Astyanax mexicanus: one gene and its partner. The protein of the gene in region 2 interacts with the protein of the main gene of each other region in a pairwise test. Links are inferred from orthologs where the notes say so. Each region holds a gene or a part of one and is shown on either strand. Other genes may lie near its edges. The genes, in order: psmb8a and lsm1.

Region 1 (9,567 bases), on a different chromosome or scaffold from region 2:
GAAACAAATTGTAATCTACTGTAAACATAATTCACTACTTTGAATGTAGTATTGTGTATTATGTATTGTGTGTATTATGAGTATGAGTATTATGAGTGCATTATGAGTAAAAATGACTTACGGTTGACCACTCCACCAGAGTAGGCATCTCTGTGAGTGGCGTGGGCAATGCCACGTCGGCCCAGCTCATACGCCTCTTCTACAGTCAAATCTTCACGGTAGCCAGCATCCACTACACCGTACGCATAGCTGTTCCCACAGCCCGTGGAAAACATCCAACCTGAGAGACGTGTACCTTCGGAATCAACATAATACAAACCTGGACCCTGAATGTCAAAAGCAAGGGCAAAAGGATCAGTGGCAGGTCAACTCAGTACGAATCATGACATCATTTAAAAATATCTCATAGATGTATATATTGCTCATCAATAAAAATAAAATCTCAAAAATATACACATATAATGCTGTACCTTCTTGTCCCAGCCACAGATCATACTACCCATGGAGAGGCCCATCCCTCGATAACCTATCATCATGTTGGACAGCAGCTTGGATGCTGCAGACACAGAGATCCTTTGACCATTGCGTAGCTGGTAAAGCCTGAAGACACAAACAAAACACAAAACACTCACACATAATGCAACACTTATGCTTTGGTCATTTATGTTGGAGTAAAAAATGTGTTTTTATTAGCTATACTGGTAATTTTTCAATTTAAATTAATCGTAAGTAAAATTTACTTGACATATTTAGTTCAAATACACTTTACCGATATCTTAATTATTTATTAGTAATTTGTTAGCGTCTCATATCTATTTGCTTTCCATTATTGGACATTTCACCTTATTTCTATGTCAAAATAAAACAGTGTTAATAAAGTGCTATGGAAAAGTAAAGTATTCTTTTTTTTATTTGTCAGACTGAAATGTTTCCTTTTATCCAACTAAACCAACTAATTAAACACACAATAAGGGTTTTAAATCATATCACCCATATTTAAAATAAATCGTCCCCATAAAAATACATCTAACATCTGGTTGTGACACTCTTGGCAGTAATAACTGCAATCAAATGTTTGCAATCACTTATGTTGAGGAATTTCAGTTTGCTTGTCTTTGCAATATTGTTTTTATTCAACTACACTGGTGAGTTTTCAGGCACGATGTGTCCATTTAAGACTTGGCCATTCCTACACCGTAATTCTTTTTTTGGGCCATAGACTTGCTTGTATGCTTTGAATCATTGTCCTTTTGCATAACCCATCTTTGCTTAAGCAAATCACAATCTGACTATTGGTATTATGTTCTTATGCAGAGTTAGCTTTCCACCAGATTTATCAAGATCCATGTCTTACAAAACATTCTACCACCACAGAATATTATCCCACAGATCCTAAAATTGTGTACGTTGATAGTAACTGAGGCACAAAATGACTGCAGATCCTTAAGATGTTTTTGTAGGCAATGCACACATGCTGAATTTGTTTAACAGGCTGCCCACTAAATTAAAAGTTTCACCACTGTTCAGAATTTTCTCCATTCATGGATAATGACTCCCAAAGACCTAGTTTAAGACTTAGCTTTGTAACACTTCCCCGACTGGCAGACTGTATACATTCTGGGAATGTTTACATCTGTATTTGCATTCGAACACTGTCATTAAATTGTACCTGGGTGTGGTTAGGGAAATTGAACCCAACTATCAACTGAATGTGGTTAATTGAATGATTTAGTTGATATAAGGAATAACTTTTTTTGCATGAAAATTAGCACCATAGCATGTTTAATGCACTTTATCTTATGTAAAGAAAAAGATTTTCCTTTTGGGTGCATAGATGCATCTGCTGAGTTGAGATGACTGGCAAAATTTCCTGACATGGCAACAAATGCACACACATGCGCACACATACACACACACAGTTGATGGTAACTTTATATGTGCACTCCCTCCATCCTCAAACGATTCAAGTTCGAACAAACCTGCACTCTTTAGCCAGGAGTCTTTCCCAGTACTGACAGTCTGCTGCACTGCCGGACATGGTACCCAGCAGGTAAGGGTTGATCTCAATCACCTTATTTGCTTCCTTTGTGTCTATTAGAAACAAAACATATAGGATGGTATAAAAATTACACGACTGGGTGTGGTATTGTAATTTACAATTATGCTATAACTTTTTAATTCTGTGAATATGTGATTTACTTTGTGTAACTTGTGAAGTAAAGTGATGTGAGTATACTTACCTATGTAGTTACCAGCTGAAGCCCTAGAGTCAACTGCCACGATGACGCCATGGCGAAACTTGAAAGCCAGTGTGGTGGTGCCATGGTTCATGTCAATTGATATGCCATCCTCACAGCTGCATGACTGTAGAAAGGTTGATGGCTGAAAAAACACAAGATGATTTTAGAGCCTGTTCAAACATTTTTGATTTATACCACTTACAATTATTATTATTATAGTAACACTGTGTACTTTAAAGTCAGTGAGCAGCTTAAAATATCCATGTTGGGTCTGTATGGGTACCCCAACTGGGAACCAACAAAGGTTTTGTCTACGGCTTCCATGTTGGCACCGCATATGAATGTCAATCGTGTGGCACGGCCCCAACAAGAGTTAGTGATAGGACCATGATAACAGGTTCCTTTTGGGAAGACCAACCGGGTGCCAGTAACAACACATGTAGGCTACAAACCCACTCGGAGCCCATGCCCACCCCAAAATTATCTAGACCACATTCCATCTATGGGAACCCAATTAGGGTCAGTAATGGGACCAGGAGGGGTTACGTGTTAAAAAGATCCAGCTCAAGACCAGCTTGCCATCTGGTCAGTGTACTGTTTAGCACACTGAGTTAAACTTAGTTTAATTTTCTGACTGTATCAAGCTAAATTCAAAAACAGAAAATTGTGTAAAAAAAACGTAATCTTTATTTTATCCATTCAGAGTGAAGAAGAAATGGATTTTCATTCAATTTTTTTATCATATTGTTTTTTATTTCAGCCTTTGGCAAAATAATTTCAAGAGACATTAAAAAGTGAATCTTCTCTTGATTTTCAGATTTGTCCATTTTTGTATCTTGTAACACAAATTTGGGGGTATTCTTGCAAAATACAAAAATGGAACAATCAGAAAATAAATAAAAGATCCTTTTTTATTTTTCCTGAAAATCCAATTGTGAGGTGCAGAAATGAAAAACCTAAAATTGGGAACAATGGATGAAAACTTATTTCTTGTACACTGCACTACATAAAAAACAAGTTTTACGTACAATTTTCTATGTTTTGCATTTAGCCTTTACAGTCTGAAAAATAAATGAATAAACATTACACTGATATCATTACACTTACCCTATCTCTTGACTAGCATAGAGTTTTTATACTGGATGACCAGCTGGTCTTGAGCTGGATTTTTAACAGGGTAAATTATAGGCTCCATCTGAGTTGTGCACTGCACATGGGGCCTAGATCAGAGCCTTGTGGGATTAAGGTGGGCTGTAATGATGAGGCACATTTTGGAAGCCAAACTGGGTCCCAGACAGTAACAACATGTGTAGACTACAAATTCAATCAGAGCCCATGCCCACCTGAATCCCACCTAGACCACACTCCATCCATGTGACTAGTCCCACATGAGCACTTCAACTGTAACGTATTCTAAGTAAGCTATAGTTTAATCGTACTTGTACTTGTACAGGGATGCATGTAGATACGCAGTTGAGGGTGAATTAATCAGGCCACTGGCCGATCATCCATCAGTTATTTATTACACATTACTTACGTCAACTCCAACAGGAACGGCAAATTCTTGTGATTTCACCCCGAAAGAGTAATGATTCGGTCCGTCCACGAAGTGAGCTTGCCTCGAAAACAGTCCAAATCCGGATACGGACGAATATCCACTAACTTCTGCTAGAGCCATGCTGTTCTGTTTAAAACAGCAGACGGTATTATTAGTTATTAGTGTTTCCTGAAACAAGCTTTAGCCCCGAAAAGAGAAAAGCAGATTTTCACCGGGTGAAATGTGAGCAATCACAGGAAGACAACGTATCTGTAGCTGAAACCGAAAGTTTCAGGGATGCTGTTTTTTTAGTTTCGATTTTAGCCGATTTTTCCTGCTTTAACAAACATTTTTAAAGGTTTTCTGAAAATTATATAATTTTACACACTCTCATGTTTACTCGCTTTATACGTTTTTCACTTTAACGTTAAAAAAAATAATTTTTATACGGAAAAGAAAAGACACGCACCTACCTGACGAGTTCCCCACAGCCGGCTGACCAATAGGAGCGCTCGTCTGTGCGCGTCATCAGTTCACAGGGAGAAAGCTCGTCTACAGGTTGCGCTGCAGCAGATTAACTGTAGTTTATTAAAGTGTCAGCTCATGTAGCCTGCTAGCCTGCCTGCTCAAATTGTATACCTTTCTTATCTTTTAATCTATTCTTATTCAGTTATACACTAGCAATTATTTTATGAAACACTCATGTGACACAAATGATACAATGCAAGTAAAACTAGTTTATACTATACTGAAACTGTGGTGTGATTTTAAACGATTCAGTGAAAATATGCAGGTAAATTAAATTGACTTATATTTAAACAATTAGTAAAATAGTATATGAATAAAGTGTAGAATTTTTATGTTTATTGGGTTTTTGAGTGTTTTTCAGAACTTTTTGAAAAGTTTTCCATTCTTCTGTAATAATCTTATAAATAATCTTAGGTTATTTATTAAAACAAAGGAAGTGTAAATTAATATGTGATGCTAAAACGATAGCTAATCCCTATATGCCCAATTTAAAACCTCTGAAATATAGTAATGATTTATTACAAAATTTATATTGACAACACATAAACCGTGTACTTGAATTAAAGTGGTAATACTCAAGGGTAAAATGTTATTTCAGTAAAAGCAAAAGTCCTCAATTCATACCCCCCACTTTTTACCTTTTTACCATTTTTCACAGATGTTGCGCTCCCCGGTATGCGTGTGATGGATAGCTAGGTGTCCAACAGGTTAAAACAAGTGCAAAACATACAGTGTACTCTGATTGGTGTGCTTCCTTTAAGTTTGTTTTAAAATCTAATGTTTTTATGCACACATAAGCCTGTAGTGTAATGACAGACTTTACATAATGGAGTAAAAAGTAAAATATCTGGGTTTAAAATGAAGTAGAGGTAAAGTAAAAAGTTACCCAAGGTAGAGATGTTTCAGTAAATTCACACATATTTTTTTAAACAGTAACTGATTACATTTACTTTGGTATTGTACACCACTCATAATGTCAGCTTGCAATAAACACAAACATGGTTGTATTTTTCCTTTAACCATGAAAACAAAACAGAACATACACAAGTCTAATTTGGTCATTTATTTATTATCATATTCACAACTAACTGAAAATGTGATTTTTGTGCTTTCTGACACCAGTTTATTTTCAAAAACAGAGGGCACAGGAGTTTGGCTCAGGATGTTTCCATTGTTTGAACATTCTCATGCACAAGCTCCAGCTCCAAGCGAACCACCTTCTCTGTCAAAACAGGAGTTGTACCTGGTTTATACTTATATTTTTCCTGTCTGGGAGAGAGAGAGGAACAAACAAAAAGGAAATATTACCCACTCAAGTACTCAGATTTTTTCTAATAATTGATTAGCTCTAGGCAGGACTTTTTTAAGACCCTTATTCAGTGTAGTCCATATTAAGCCTTCAGACGATCACATAACACAATAAAAAAAGAGAATTATTGTCAACAAACTGCTAAAGTGCAGGGTGATTACACTTTGTACAGCTGTTTGCCTGTGCATAATACAGTAATACTGAATAGTCCAATAAGGTACTGCTAGCATATTAACTAATATACCTATAAAATTGACTAAAATCTTTGAAAGGTCAGATTTGACATGTCCACAAAACTTAAAAAAATCTTATACGTGTCACAATAAGGCAAAAAAAGGTCACTTCAGCGTAATAATGTGATCATAACCTGACTGAAATGTCCTTTTTTACCTCTTGTTCGTGTATTCAGATTCCTTATAGGGTCTTATGTAGTCCACCCCTTCCCTGGTGATGACACAGATGTCAATGTTGTTTCCTGAACCCAGGTCACTCATGATGCCTGCATGGATGGCATCGCGCACTAAAAACTTGGCCTCCTCAAGCTAGAAAACAGGATGAAACAATGTGAGAGTTGGTTCATTTTAAGCCAGTACAGTGTTATAAATACCTTTTATTACTAAGGTTGTCTGTGACTGAAGTAAATTGAACATAAGGAAGAATCAGATTATTTTAAAACAGCCAAGTACCTCCAGACTGGGTTTGAACCTGTCTTCCAGAACACCCATAGCAGCTAAATCTCCAGATCCTAAACACAACCATTGATTGAATTAGCAAATAACTGCAGTATCATTAAATTACATGTTTGAATGTGACTTCTGGATGTCATAAACTTACCCATTGCAATAAATGGAACCTTGGTCATGCTTCCAAAAGGCCCCACATTGTAGATGTGACTCCCAGTGCAGTCGACCCCTCCCAAAATGAGATTCGCTCCAATCCCACCTCGATACCTGATATATGACATCAACATTAAAGTAAACAAAAAAGCAACAATAAATGTCAGTTTTTATCACTTTATCACTTGCATTAACATACATTTTATTGGTTGGACCACATGCAGATTTTAATTGATCGCAAGAGAAGCCACAGCCAGAATGTGATATGAACGAATGACCAAGTCACATTTGGAGAGAGGGATCTTAACCACATTAAAAACAGGTGTAAATGGAATGTGTTCCACAAACAAATTTATAAAGATTGTTTGCTGCATCTCATATTTTTTTAGAAACTACAGCAGATGCAAGACATTACATTCTCATCCACCAAATAATTTCATGACTAGAGAATCCCCCTTTGTAAAAGGGCACTGAAAGTAAAATCAGATCTCAAAAAGTGAAAATGGAATGTGCTTGTCAACCTGAAGAGCATATCCTGTATGATGTTAGCTGCCATGACCACTCTAGGATTTCTGCCACTGTTCAAGGAGAAAATGGTGAGGTTGGATGACAGCATGTCTGTAGTTTTTTCTGTGTCTGCAGCAGTCCCTGCTCCACAGCAGCTAAACACATAAAAAAACAGACAGTTGCAACCTCTTATATTTTTCTGTATGAAATCTGAGTAGTGTACACAATCAGTCAGAAGGTTTAAAAACAATTAGATAATTTTATGATACACCACTCTTTCTAACATTAAATTATGAGTAATATTGAGGAAAAATGTTATGTTTTTTACAAGTGGAGGTGCCACTTACTATATGTTTGGAGCAATGTAGTGAATTTTGGCACACATTTTGTCAGCGACTACTTCACTGGAAGTGGCCCTTGTGTCTGCTCCCAGTACCACACCATCCTACATACATAGATAGATAGATAGATAGATAGATAGATAGATAGATAGATAGATAGATAGATAGATAGATAGATAGATAGATAGATAGATAGATAGATAGATAGATAGATAGATAGATAGATAGATAGAAACCAATATTAAACATCACATATAAAGAATATGATTTGAATAATCCTACATTTTGAACTCTCTTCTGATGTTTCATACCTTATACACCACTCCTGCAATTGTGGTTCCAGTCTTCATGGGTTTAGGTGTCTTTGTCTTCTGTTCTCCAAGCACATTGTTCAATAAAACATTTCTGAAAGACAAAGGCAAATGATAAGGTAGCTGACAATCCTAAGACATTATGTCATGGTGTTGCTTACAGGCTACGAAAAAACACACTTTTGATTATTGAATTGTGCTTTTAATGTTTTTTTTTATTGTTGTGGCTATGTTTTCTTTATCTTCTTACTAAAAGAGCTTTCTTTGATTTATTGCTTCTGGGCAACATTATACAGATACATAACGAGGCAATCATGTTGAAACAGTGGTTCCTAATTTTTTGATGGTTAGATCACCACTGTCAAAATGTAGTTTTTTTTCTAAACAAATATGAAAATCAAGCTATAGAGGGATAATGTATAGCAAGCTGTTGTAGGATAAAGAACCATTTACTATCATTTAGGACAAAAATGGGATGTATAGGTGTATGGTGTTAAGGTGAGTAAACATGAACAGGTCCCCTGTCAGGTGCTCCTCTAATGAAGAAGTGCTCAGAATTAAATGGGGCACTTTAGTTTCTGAATCAGTTTTCTCTGAGTTTGCTATTTATAGGTAAAAACTATGGACAACATTTCTCCCAAATTCCAAATAAAATATTGTCATTTAGAGCATGTATTTGCAGAACATGATAAATGGCTAAAATAAAGAGGATACAGAGCTTTCAGACCTCAAATAATGCAAAGAACACAAGTTCATATTCATAAAGTTTTAAGAGTTCAGAAATCAATATTTGGTGAAATAACACTGTTTTTTAAATGCAGTTTCACACTTTCACACTGCTTTTGGATAACTTTGTGCCACTCCTGGTACAAAAAAAATCAAGCAGTTCAGCTTGGTTTGACGGCTGTGATCATCCATCTTCCTCCTGATTGTTTTCCAGAGGGTTTCAATTTGGTAAAATCAAAGAAACTCCTAATTTTTAAGAGGTCTCTTATTTAGGGCTGTATGTGTTCAATTTTAGTCCCTGCTAGAATTTTCCGACAGCAGGGAGTTTAATACACAGACATCTGTAATCTGGCGATGAATTAGGACTCAGTAGTTTGAGTTTAAGGCTAAAACTGCTTGCTATATGAGCGCGGCTGCAGATCGTGTCACGGCAGGTCACGGCGTATCTCTCTCCTCAGAGCGATGCGATGCTTCCTCAAACGAAAATAAAAGATTTCACCGTATTATGTTTCAGAAGCAGCTAATATAACAAACTTCCTCGTTTGTTGTGAAAACTTCATGTGAAGCGAAATATATGAGGTTAAATAACGCGTTTTTGTCGAATTAAAAAATTAAAATACGTATTAAAATACTTTCGCTTTTGGTGAGAGTGTAGCTCTCAGTACACACACTCTACTCTAAAAAATATATGTAAATAAATATACATATCTAAAGTTACTGCGCATTTGGCATTGAAATCATTGATTCGAGTTCTAGTAAACTGAATTAAACTTACCGGGTCGAGTTCTCGAAACTGAACCCAGACTGAGGCGCTTCGAACACGTACGGGTGAGCCATGTCCGCGGAGAGAAACCGGGCTACGGGCAGCTCGCTGTGTCTCACAGGCAGCAGGAGGACTGTGTGAGGTTGACTCGCTGTAATTGCGCATGCGCGACCAGCGGTGGCGCTGTTTATCTAACCGTGAGGGAGCGCATGTTTCAGGAATTGTTACTTTATTAATGGAGTAAAGAGAACCGTCCTGCTGCTGCTGCTGCTGAAGCTCGATCAGTCCGACCACCTTTAGACACAAGCGTTCAGCGATGGACAGACCCCCGAACCCTCAGAATACTGGAGTCAGCACAGGTGTAAGTACAGCTCAGTGAGACCTATAAACAGCGCCTACAGCTCAGATATGTGATTAACAGTCAGAGAATACGTACGGGTTTATCCGGGTGAAGCTACAGGCTAATCAG
Region 2 (9,757 bases):
AAATGGTTAAGAAATGTTGAGTACTACAACACTGAATTAATAAACACCACAATAGAAAGTAATTGTTTAAAACAGTTGCTTTTAATATTTTAAATAGAAACGTAAAATATATTTAATTGTAGCCAAATAATTTATTGTAGCCAAATAAAATAAACAGAGCAATTTGTTATATTAAAATTGAGAGATTATAATGTAAGAATGTGTTTAGCTATGTGTCAATTTAAATTTGGACTATTGACACAGTCAAGCTGCCAAGTAGTGTTAATTTATATTTAGCATCACTGTTTCCTTTACTGGCACAGGCTGCATCTTGTTTTTTCTTGTTTGTAGCAGCCTGGTAGCATTTATTTTGTTTTTAAATTCACAGTATATATTTTTTGCACCACTAGTAGCTTTGCTATTAGTTTGCCACGTTCTCCCCTTCACTGTTCTAAATGTTGCACCTTACTATTAGGTCTGATACAGCTTTTTATTTTAATAGCTTTAGCATTACTTATTTTAAAAGAAAATCTCTCAGACTTTGGGACCCCAAAACCTGCATGCCCTCTGTAAAATTAAAACACCATGTGCTACAAAAATCACACACACAACTCTTCAGGTAGAAAGTTGCTGCTTTCACTGCCATAACACAGTATTTCATTTTACTGAACACCACAAGTAGATGCTGGTGGTAGCACTTCCAGAGAACATTTTAAGACCGTGTTGTTTATCACTATGTATCCTTAACAGTCCCAAAGTCTGTTTTGGTTTTGTTTAGGTGTATCTGCATAATGTATTTGTGATGGGGCATTTAAAGCCAGTAAACTAGTTTGATACGATTTCATTCACCACCACTGTGAACAAGATTAAGTTTGGTACATTTCTCTAAAACATAACTTGTTTTCAGTATTTGGCGACACCATAAGGCAAATGAGGGAATTACACAGACACTGCAAGCTAGCAAGTAACGCTGGAGAAGTACTTGAAAAGTCACAACATAAGTGTGGAATTGAATGCTTCTCTTAAAATATTCTCAACCCAACATCATACAATTATAGAAAAGGTTAGTTTTATATATTTTGTTTTCATGTAAACTGGCTCCCCTTAAGGTAAGTAAAGAACTGGAAAGGTGGTTAATAAAATGCAATCAGGCAAGAACAGACTGCATTTCACAAATCATTTGTCGCACAAAGGAAACCACTCAATATTATTCAGTACAAAATAGGTTTAATAGAACAAAAATATCTTCAGTGCTGTTTAGCGTGATTTAACATAGCATACCAACATAAACGCCACCATAACATCACCTCAACGACACAAACACTGAGTTTAAGGTTCCATTATTCTTCTCTACAAAGTTCAAAATAAAAGCCAGCAGGCCAAGTGCTTCCGTTTGGTCCATCTTCAGTTTCAATACGGCACCATCGGCCGTAAAGGAAAAGATGGTAATGGTCACGCAGAGCATGACTTACATAAAAACAAAAACGGTCATGATCACAGTCTTCTGTGATGCATTCATTGAAGGTCACGTGTGTAATACTCACTAAAACTGAAAACAAAACAAGCAAAAAAAATTAACCTAAAGGCGTCTCAGAAATCATCCAATGTGTCTGCTTTAGGGATGGACAAGCCTCGCTCCTTTACTGCCTGTAGTTTCCGCTTCTCAGACTCCTGCTTTGCCTGCTGCTCCACCCGCTGCTCCTCCAGAATTTCCTCAATGGAAACTCTCTGAAGGATCTGATCACATTCTTTATCTAGGTCCTACAGAGCAGACAATAAACAAATCCAAACAGGAGAGTGTAGGTTAAATTCCAATAAAACATGCTTCTTAAATTCCCCTCATTCATAACACATCTCAGCTCTCCTCCTTACCCGTCCAATAAAATAGTATTATTCTACATCATGTTTATTGCACCCAGATCATAGTTGTGGGGAAAAAAAAAAAAAAAAAAGTGCGCACAATGCAGCCACACTGATTTGGTCAGTCCACCGTATTAAAAGGTTAAAGGTAAGCTCAACCCCTGGTACCAAAATAATTCCCAAATTTCCCACAGCAGGGTGTTAATATTTAACATTAACAAGTTTCTCTTATTTACCTTTTACATTTTAAATTTCCATTGAGTCCATGACTAGAATTAATCCTTGGCCAGGTATTTGGCCCTTAATGCAGGTACTGTGTTACACACCAAGGTACTATTCACACTATAGCCCTTCATTAGGTTGACTGATATTTCCCCAGCATTCTCTAAAGCCTGTCAATCCTAGCAACAACAAACAAGGCTTATGTTTAATACCATGACTCATTTTGCTTAATCTTATTTTAATGGAAACATTTCCAGAAAGAAAAATAAACAAAAACTGTGTAAACTTACTACTTCTCCAAGTAAGACAACATTTTCTCCTCTGACAACAAAGATCCCTCGGGGTATGTCTCCAAACTTCTTACCAACGTGGATACGTTCCACTGTTTGATGCAAAACTAAATTTGCTGTTAAAGAGAACAGAGATCAAATATTAACAACCTGTTAATGAATAACATACAACTGACAAGGATGGGCAGAACAATACTGATGCAAATAAACTTCAAATACTGACCGTGCTGCTAATGCAGTGAGATCATTTGTTATTCGGTAGTTAGCACCATGGCTTTATATTCTATGCACCCTCAAGCAGTTTTAAAATAGATGTACCATATAATATAGATCAGTGCATCCATGCTAAAGGCAGGTTACCACTTCATTGTGAAAGGGCATCGAATAAAAGTGAAGCATGGAACAACTTAAACGATGTCCAACTACTGCCAAGCACACCTAACGCCTCTTAATCCAACTCTGAGGAACTTTAGTAAGCTCATTTTAATGGGTGTCAGTTCAGTGGGAAACACTGGTGTACATATAAATATATTATACTGATCATACTGAGTGGTTCACTTGGATCTGTTATTTTACTTCACTGAACACTGGATCTACTTACCAAACTGATCTATACTTCTGAGGATCCCAATCAGTGTTCTCCCATCTCTGAGCAGAACAAGGTGCTTTTCTGGAAGAAAAACAAAAACAGATCAGACAGACAGAAAGCTTATTTGCTTAAAAGACATTTATACAGTTTCATGCAACAACAAAACTGGCAAAATAAGTCACACAAAACAGCCTTCCTTGGATTTGTTATGTCATCCTAAGAATTCATAAAGAGCTAGTTCAATGTTCGCCAGCTCCAGCTGTGTTATATTTAACTTTTAGCATTTTAGCAAGTCTATAAAGGTTTAATTTGCAAGTACTTAAGTGGTTGTAGTTGTTAGCGATCTAGCTAGCTATCTAATGGCCCAAACCCTGAAGACCACCTCCAGGTTCATCTTGGGAGGAATGAGGTGTAGAGAAAAAAAATACAATATGTATAAATTGTACACAGTTCGTGGTCAGAAACGCAAGATTAAACACACTTAGATTATCTTTAGCAGTAAGAAAGTTTAAGATAGCTAATTGCTTTAAATTTCCACTCCACCTTAAATAGGGCAGCAGGTACATTACTGTGCTAGCTGGACTCAGAATATAATCACTGCACCATTTAAGGTGGACCGAACAATTCCAATTACAACGCAGCTATTTGGAGTTCCAGCGGCTTTAGGCTGGGTAGTAAAGCCCAGCGGAGCTTTTAACTTACTGTCGATGTCCTCAATGAGGCTGGCGGTGCCTGGCATGTAATTCATCCTGCAGACATGCGGGGAGTTTAAAGCACAAAAAACCTAGAGACAGTGTGATATCAAACCTCCTGGCACCCAAACTAACTACAGCAGCAGCGCTCTTATAGCACAGCTTCCGGGGCACGCTCACCCCTTTAAAGGGCCCACTCGCATTTTATAAAACAAATCTTTTTACAAAAGATATGTTTTATATTCGTTTTTGAGATTTTTTTTGCAGTTTTATTTATATGTAATGTTAATTTAAACGCACCATGCATTTTTTTTTATCATTTATCTATAAGCTTAATAATTATTTTAATTATTATGCTTTTATTTTGTAGTGCTTTCTTCCCACGTATTTATTTATTAGAGATTTTATCTGTTATTTCCTTTGTAACTGTTATTTATTTATTTATTTATGTTCATTTACTATGTTTGTGATCTATTTCTGTTTAATCCTTTAGCTGTATTTTACATTTTGCTTCACTCCAACTGATTTGGAAGCTACCGTCTCAAGAACAAGGTTGTCAAAATACAGTAACTTTAACAATTAAATGTTGAATCAGAGCTTATGACAGAAATTATAGTTACAGATAAAAAATAAACAAACTAATTTTGATTTTACAAAATCATAATCATACATAAAATAAGATATCGTTTACTTTATAATATAGAACTCTCTAAAAAAAAAGAGTATCAATATATTTTGTATTTCAAATTTATAAATACATTTTGTACCCCTGACAAGGCACAGAAACATCTTAACATCTAAACATATCTCGAAATATCACGGAATAACAAATATATAATTTTAAGTATGTCATTTATCCTTGGGATTTGTATTATTTATGCAGAAAATATATTTTACAATATTTTATCCAATTAATTTTTTCAAAAGCAAAGAGTTATATTATATTTTTAATGCTTCGATTCGATTGATTAAAATACATATAAAGCAACGTACATTGTAACCCAGCTTGTGATTGGCTAGCTCGTTTTTGTGCACATTGTGATTGGCTAGATATTCCTGTCCCTATTTGTGATTGGCTGCTTGCTTTTTTCTGTGACAGTCAGCAGCACTTTGCTGTTATGCGTGAATATGTTTAATTAATTGAACTGTAGAGCTAAAGAAGGATATCAGTAACGCGCTTTTACAATAATTTTTGCCATAAAAAATATATATATGAATACGTTATAAGATTTAAATAAATATTTAATTGCTCAGGTCAGGCTACAGCACCGCGCAGATTCAGTCACACTGCAGCTACACCCGACACGATGGCGAGAATGATGGGTTAATGAATTAGTAATAATAAAAATAATCATATTAATACCAATAACGTGCTGTTAGCAGTGGATGGCCTACGACTCAGCCGGAGCGGAGAGAAGCGGGGAGGCGGCGTGGCTACTGCAACAGCAGCGGCACATGCAGCAGCCGAAAGCGGGCTGGAGCCCCGGGTACAACCCGGAGAGCAGCTGGAGCGGAGCGATGGTAAGAACCGGGGCTAGGCTAGGCTAAGCTAAGCTAAGCTAAACTACGCTAAGCTAAGCTGTGTTTGACACCAGTGTATCATTCATACAGAAGCAGCTTAACGTTTTATTTACATTTAATACAAATGCATCTTAATAATACACGGTTTTAATTCACTTTGTGTAAAAGTTTACGCAGCTGACTTTGAGCAAACTGTGCCGTCCTATTCAATTAGCTTTAGCATAGCATCTCTTACCAGCTATTGCCAGCACTTCAGTTACTAACCTTCACTTAAACTGTAGTAGCGTTGACATGTTAACCTAGTGTGTTTTCTATGTAGTTAGCTAGCTCACATAAATATACAACCCTGATTTACTTTGCAGAGAGATGTTCGTTTTATTGCCTAAGTTTGTAGTTTAGTTGAATAAGTTATCAGACCGGCCATTGCTGGCTTTGGTCAGCAAGTTGGTTATCTAGAGAAACAGGACTTATTGCGTAAAATTAGGTGGCCTTTATACAAGCAGTTAGCTATAGCTAGGTTTGCTAGTGTGTTTGGGTTGTTAATAAAAGTTGGATATCCTAAATTATCCCATTTTCTGCATAGCAGCGATATAATACTGTCAGAATTTACCAAATGTATCCCTACACTACTGGTAAAGTTGTAACCTAAGTGCACCTTATCTTCAGTGTTGGAGAACCAAAGCTTCCTGAGTGCTTCTGTTCTGTACTGAAATAATGCCTTTCAGATCTGATACCTATTTTTATTTCTATACAGTTAGCATAAAGAAACCTTTACTATGTCGGCTTCGTTGTTTTTTAATTGATTAAAACAGTCACACTTAAAATAAATTTCAATTCTTTACAGCAAATGTTGTCATAGAGCAGCTCTGCAGAGATCTGGGTCCAAAAGTGACTGCAGAATGAGTGGTCAAATAGTACTTTATTATTTCAATTTGTGCTTATTGTAAAAACAGGTCATGTATTATAAAAATCTGAGTAACTGCAGAACACATGCTAAATATTAGTACTGATGAAAGTGGTGTCCATAAGTCCTTAAAGGCTGAACAGTCCCATGCTGTCATGCAGAATCATCCTGCTGTGAAAGAATAATAGCCAGGGTTTAAAAGCAAAAAACAGGGAAAAGAGATAGCAGGAACAAAAATAACATCATAACAAACAAAGGAAAATTCGCAGAATATGGGAAATTGCCATGCAAGTAGTGGCATCAGCCTTAATGATGTACCAACATTGAGGAGAAAACAAGAGGCAGCTTATAATATGGGCTAGAGAAGGATAAACATATGTACAGTTAATGTAAAAGTAATGTTACAAAATAATTTGTATTATTTCTTCAATTCAGCCATATGGTGAACCACTAATATAGTGGTGACAACTACTATAGGACTAACATCATGTAATTTCTGCTTTACGGCAGGACTCTAATCCATATTGTGGCTATCCACCAAACTACTGGTACCCTCATTCGCATACTGCTGGACCGTATAGTAACACATACCCCTCTGGAGCAGAGGTCAATGGACAAGCACCGTACAATCCCCAGGTACAGTACCACATCTTCCTTCTTGTCTTAACACAGTGCTTAAAGTTTTTTTGCAGATTCACACTGGATAAAAAAAAATACACTGACTAATGCACTGATTAATACTGACATAAAATCATGCTACAATTATTGCCTTCATACTGTTAAAATTACACAGACTGCAGATTCATAGTAGATTAATTGTATTAGAGTAATACTAATTATATTAGAGTATTAAAGGTGTTTGGTATATATACTTTTTATGAAAATCAAACTGCTGTGCCTTTATTTCAGGCAATGTCAGGCTATCCCAATGGGGTGTACAATCCAGGACAGTACTCAGCCAATATGATGCACCCATCCAATCCGTTCTACTGCAGTGAGCAGATTCCTCCACGGCAACCACCTCAGTATCATAATCAGGGCTGCGCTGATCGGCCCGCGGGGAATTCTACTCAGCCTCCCTATGCTGTACCGCATTGCCAAGGGGTAGGTGATGATCCACTATTTAACCTTTTATGTTTGCTCATGTTTTTAGTGGTATCATTCGTTATATCGTATAGTAAAGGTCACAGCTTTTGATATGACTGGCCAGCTAAACACATACGTTTTTAAGGTTTAATAGTACAGCCTCTGTTCTTGTTCACTGTTCTTGCAGGGTCCTGGATATCCCCCTAATTCGTACCCACACTATGGAGATGGATGCCCCTCCAACCCTGGGTATCCCACCCAGCAGGCCATGCACTCAAGGCCCCAGCCTGAAGCCTGGCCCCATTCAGGCGGATATGGGCCAACACAGCCTCAACAGCAGTGGCAGCCTGGCACCCAGCCAGCTCACGGGCCATACGCTAACCATGCTAACCACGTCCGACCTCCACATCCTCCACCCTGGCAGGGGCCTGCGCCACCTCCATATGAACATAAGGTATCCAAGCTGTCTGTACATTAACTCGTCATTTTATAGCATTGATGGTCAGCAAAGAGTGGGTTTAGGTTCAGTTCTGGTCTGTGTGTCAAACTGACTAAAATCAGGCTCACAAATGTGAATTTTCTGAACCACAGAATGGAACTGTAGTATTGGAATGTATGTTTACTTGTGTGTTTGTGTCTCTGGTGCTTTTTTGTGAGCAACCATGATTTTTATGTTTAGCTTCTATTCTTGTTGCTTTACAGTAGTATCTTTAGGCTAGTTTGTTTCAAAGCTGTTTTGTTGTTTTGTATAGTAGGTGGTTGCTAAGGTGATGCTCAGTAGTTGTTTCGAAGGGTGGAGTTATGGCATCACAGATTGCTTCCAAGGGTGTTGCTACCATTTTTTTTACTGCTGTATGAAATAAGATGAACAAAGATTTTAATCTTGTTGCATGCACTGTGTTGTTTACCTTAGTTTTTTACAGATGTTATATGTTTTATTGATATGTTGTTTTATTTAATCAGGGAAAGGATAAAACACAAATGATTTGTCACCTCTATTTCTATTTTTCTGTTTTTGGTCAGACTGAGGGTTTCTAGAAATGATAAAGTGATGAATGTTGTGTTTCGAAATATCATCTTCATTAAAAGGAGGAAGAGTATAACTTTGCTAAACAGGGTTAAATAACTATTGAACATGTTACTGCTTCGGTTACCAAATATAGGTGCAAGCAGTGGTCACTTAAAACTGTTTTAAGTCAGAAAAATATAGTCAATTCATAAATAAAGGTACAATCATCACTTCAATACGTGTATCACCACAGTTAGGCCTAATTGCATGCTTTCCTCAAGACCATAAACTCCAACACACATGTTCTACACATCTAAACGTGTGGGCTAGCCAAAGATATCTTAGGTCAGATGAGGTGCTGTACTCAAGCAGAGAGTTCAGTACACAGTCTTTCAAGCCTTTCAAGTCCTTCTGTTTCTCTCTCACACACACACACGCGCACACACACAGGAATAGCTTAAAGGAACTCCAGCTTAAAGAAAGCACAGTCCATCTGACCCTCAGTGACACTGTAGTGTCCTAAAGCTGGTTATGTAATAGAACTCAGCTCTCCTATTGTAAAGCTTTACACTCTGATACTTAAAAGAAAGTCAACTGCAAATCAGTAAAAGTTAATACAGTGAGGGAGGAAAATGCACAAAAATAACTTAAAATGGAGAGTTTCTTACTTTTACAATTATTTAATTGCAAACTATATTAACCAAAGAGATTCCATGTATTGTTTGCTCAACTCAGTTTGCTTTGTTAATATACATCTATCCCTGCATTTCAGGCCTGCCATACATTTCAAAAAAGTTCAAACAGGTGTCATCAAATATCAATGATCCTTTATTGAAACATAGGCACTCTAAACTCTTTAAGACTTCCCCCTCAATTTGACTTACAAAAGTTACTTCTTTATTACTCCACATGATGGCGCTAATGAAATGAATAGGGTAAACCTGCACTGAAGAATATTGGTTGTTAAATTCTTTAAAACTGGCACCAATAAATATATTATTACTGGTATTTTATCCTGTTCAGTAACACAGTTACAACTTATTGCATAATGAATTATTCAGAAATAGTATAGTAGTATAGTCACCTAAAATGCAAAGATAAATCACAGTACCACCCCTAAAAATAAAAATAAATGATATATTCATCTCTGCCCACGTTAATTACATTTATTCTTGTTCATATATTTAGTATTAAAAAGTCATTGATATTTAAACAGTGCTCAGTAAAACATTTAAATAAAAAAGAATAAATGTTGTCTTCTCAAATTTACCCAGGAACCTCCATATCCCGGTCCGCCAGTGCATCCTCGAAACCAGGCTTCGGGCCCCAAACCTCGACCCAACACCCCAAACCCGAACCCGGGCCAGCCCAAACCTTCTGAGTACAGCGCCCCTCCTCAGATCTACAACAGAGCAGCCTCTGGTGGCGGAGGCGTGAAAGGCGGCCCAGAACCCAAACCAGCGCCGAATGACCCGCCTCCAGCAAGCTCTACCCCTACGACGATCCCCTTCAGCGATAACCCCAGCCTGGCTCGAGTCCAGCAGGTCCTGGCCAGAGTCCAGCTGCTCGAAGAGGACGTGGATGAGTTTGTTGGCAAAAAGACGG

Evidence for each region.
Region 1: the proteins of lsm1 (region 2) and psmb8a interact in binary tests that used the Homo sapiens proteins (3 or more experiments, as listed by UniProt). The link is inferred for Astyanax mexicanus from reciprocal best matches to the Homo sapiens genes LSM1 and PSMB8.

The regions. Positions count from the first base shown.
Region 1 is NC_064410.1:22,166,852-22,176,418, reverse strand, and holds the start of psmb8a (proteasome subunit beta type-8), read right to left. Parts: upstream 4,342-9,567; 5' UTR 4,247-4,341; intron 3,925-4,246; 5' UTR 3,919-3,924; coding exon 3,778-3,918; intron 2,383-3,777; coding exon 2,241-2,382; intron 2,092-2,240; coding exon 1,980-2,091; intron 601-1,979; coding exon 471-600; intron 327-470; coding exon 122-326; intron 1-121. Other genes in the region: psmb13a (proteasome 20S subunit beta 13a), read right to left, coding at 5,463-5,574, 6,005-6,156, 6,301-6,359, 6,449-6,564, 6,972-7,112, 7,305-7,402, 7,610-7,703, 9,111-9,172; psmb12 (proteasome 20S subunit beta 12), read left to right, coding at 9,415-9,459. UniProt on the Homo sapiens protein: The proteasome is a multicatalytic proteinase complex which is characterized by its ability to cleave peptides with Arg, Phe, Tyr, Leu, and Glu adjacent to the leaving group at neutral or slightly basic pH.
Region 2 is NC_064419.1:32,066,477-32,076,233, forward strand, and holds lsm1 (U6 snRNA-associated Sm-like protein LSm1), read right to left. Parts: upstream 3,806-9,757; 5' UTR 3,689-3,805; coding exon 3,643-3,688; intron 3,022-3,642; coding exon 2,953-3,021; intron 2,468-2,952; coding exon 2,352-2,467; intron 1,741-2,351; coding exon 1,570-1,740; 3' UTR 1,187-1,569; downstream 1-1,186. Other genes in the region: bag4 (BAG family molecular chaperone regulator 4), read left to right, coding at 5,019-5,153, 6,568-6,693, 6,967-7,161, 7,331-7,597, 9,427-9,757. UniProt on the Homo sapiens protein: Plays a role in the degradation of histone mRNAs, the only eukaryotic mRNAs that are not polyadenylated. Probably also part of an LSm subunits-containing complex involved in the general process of mRNA degradation.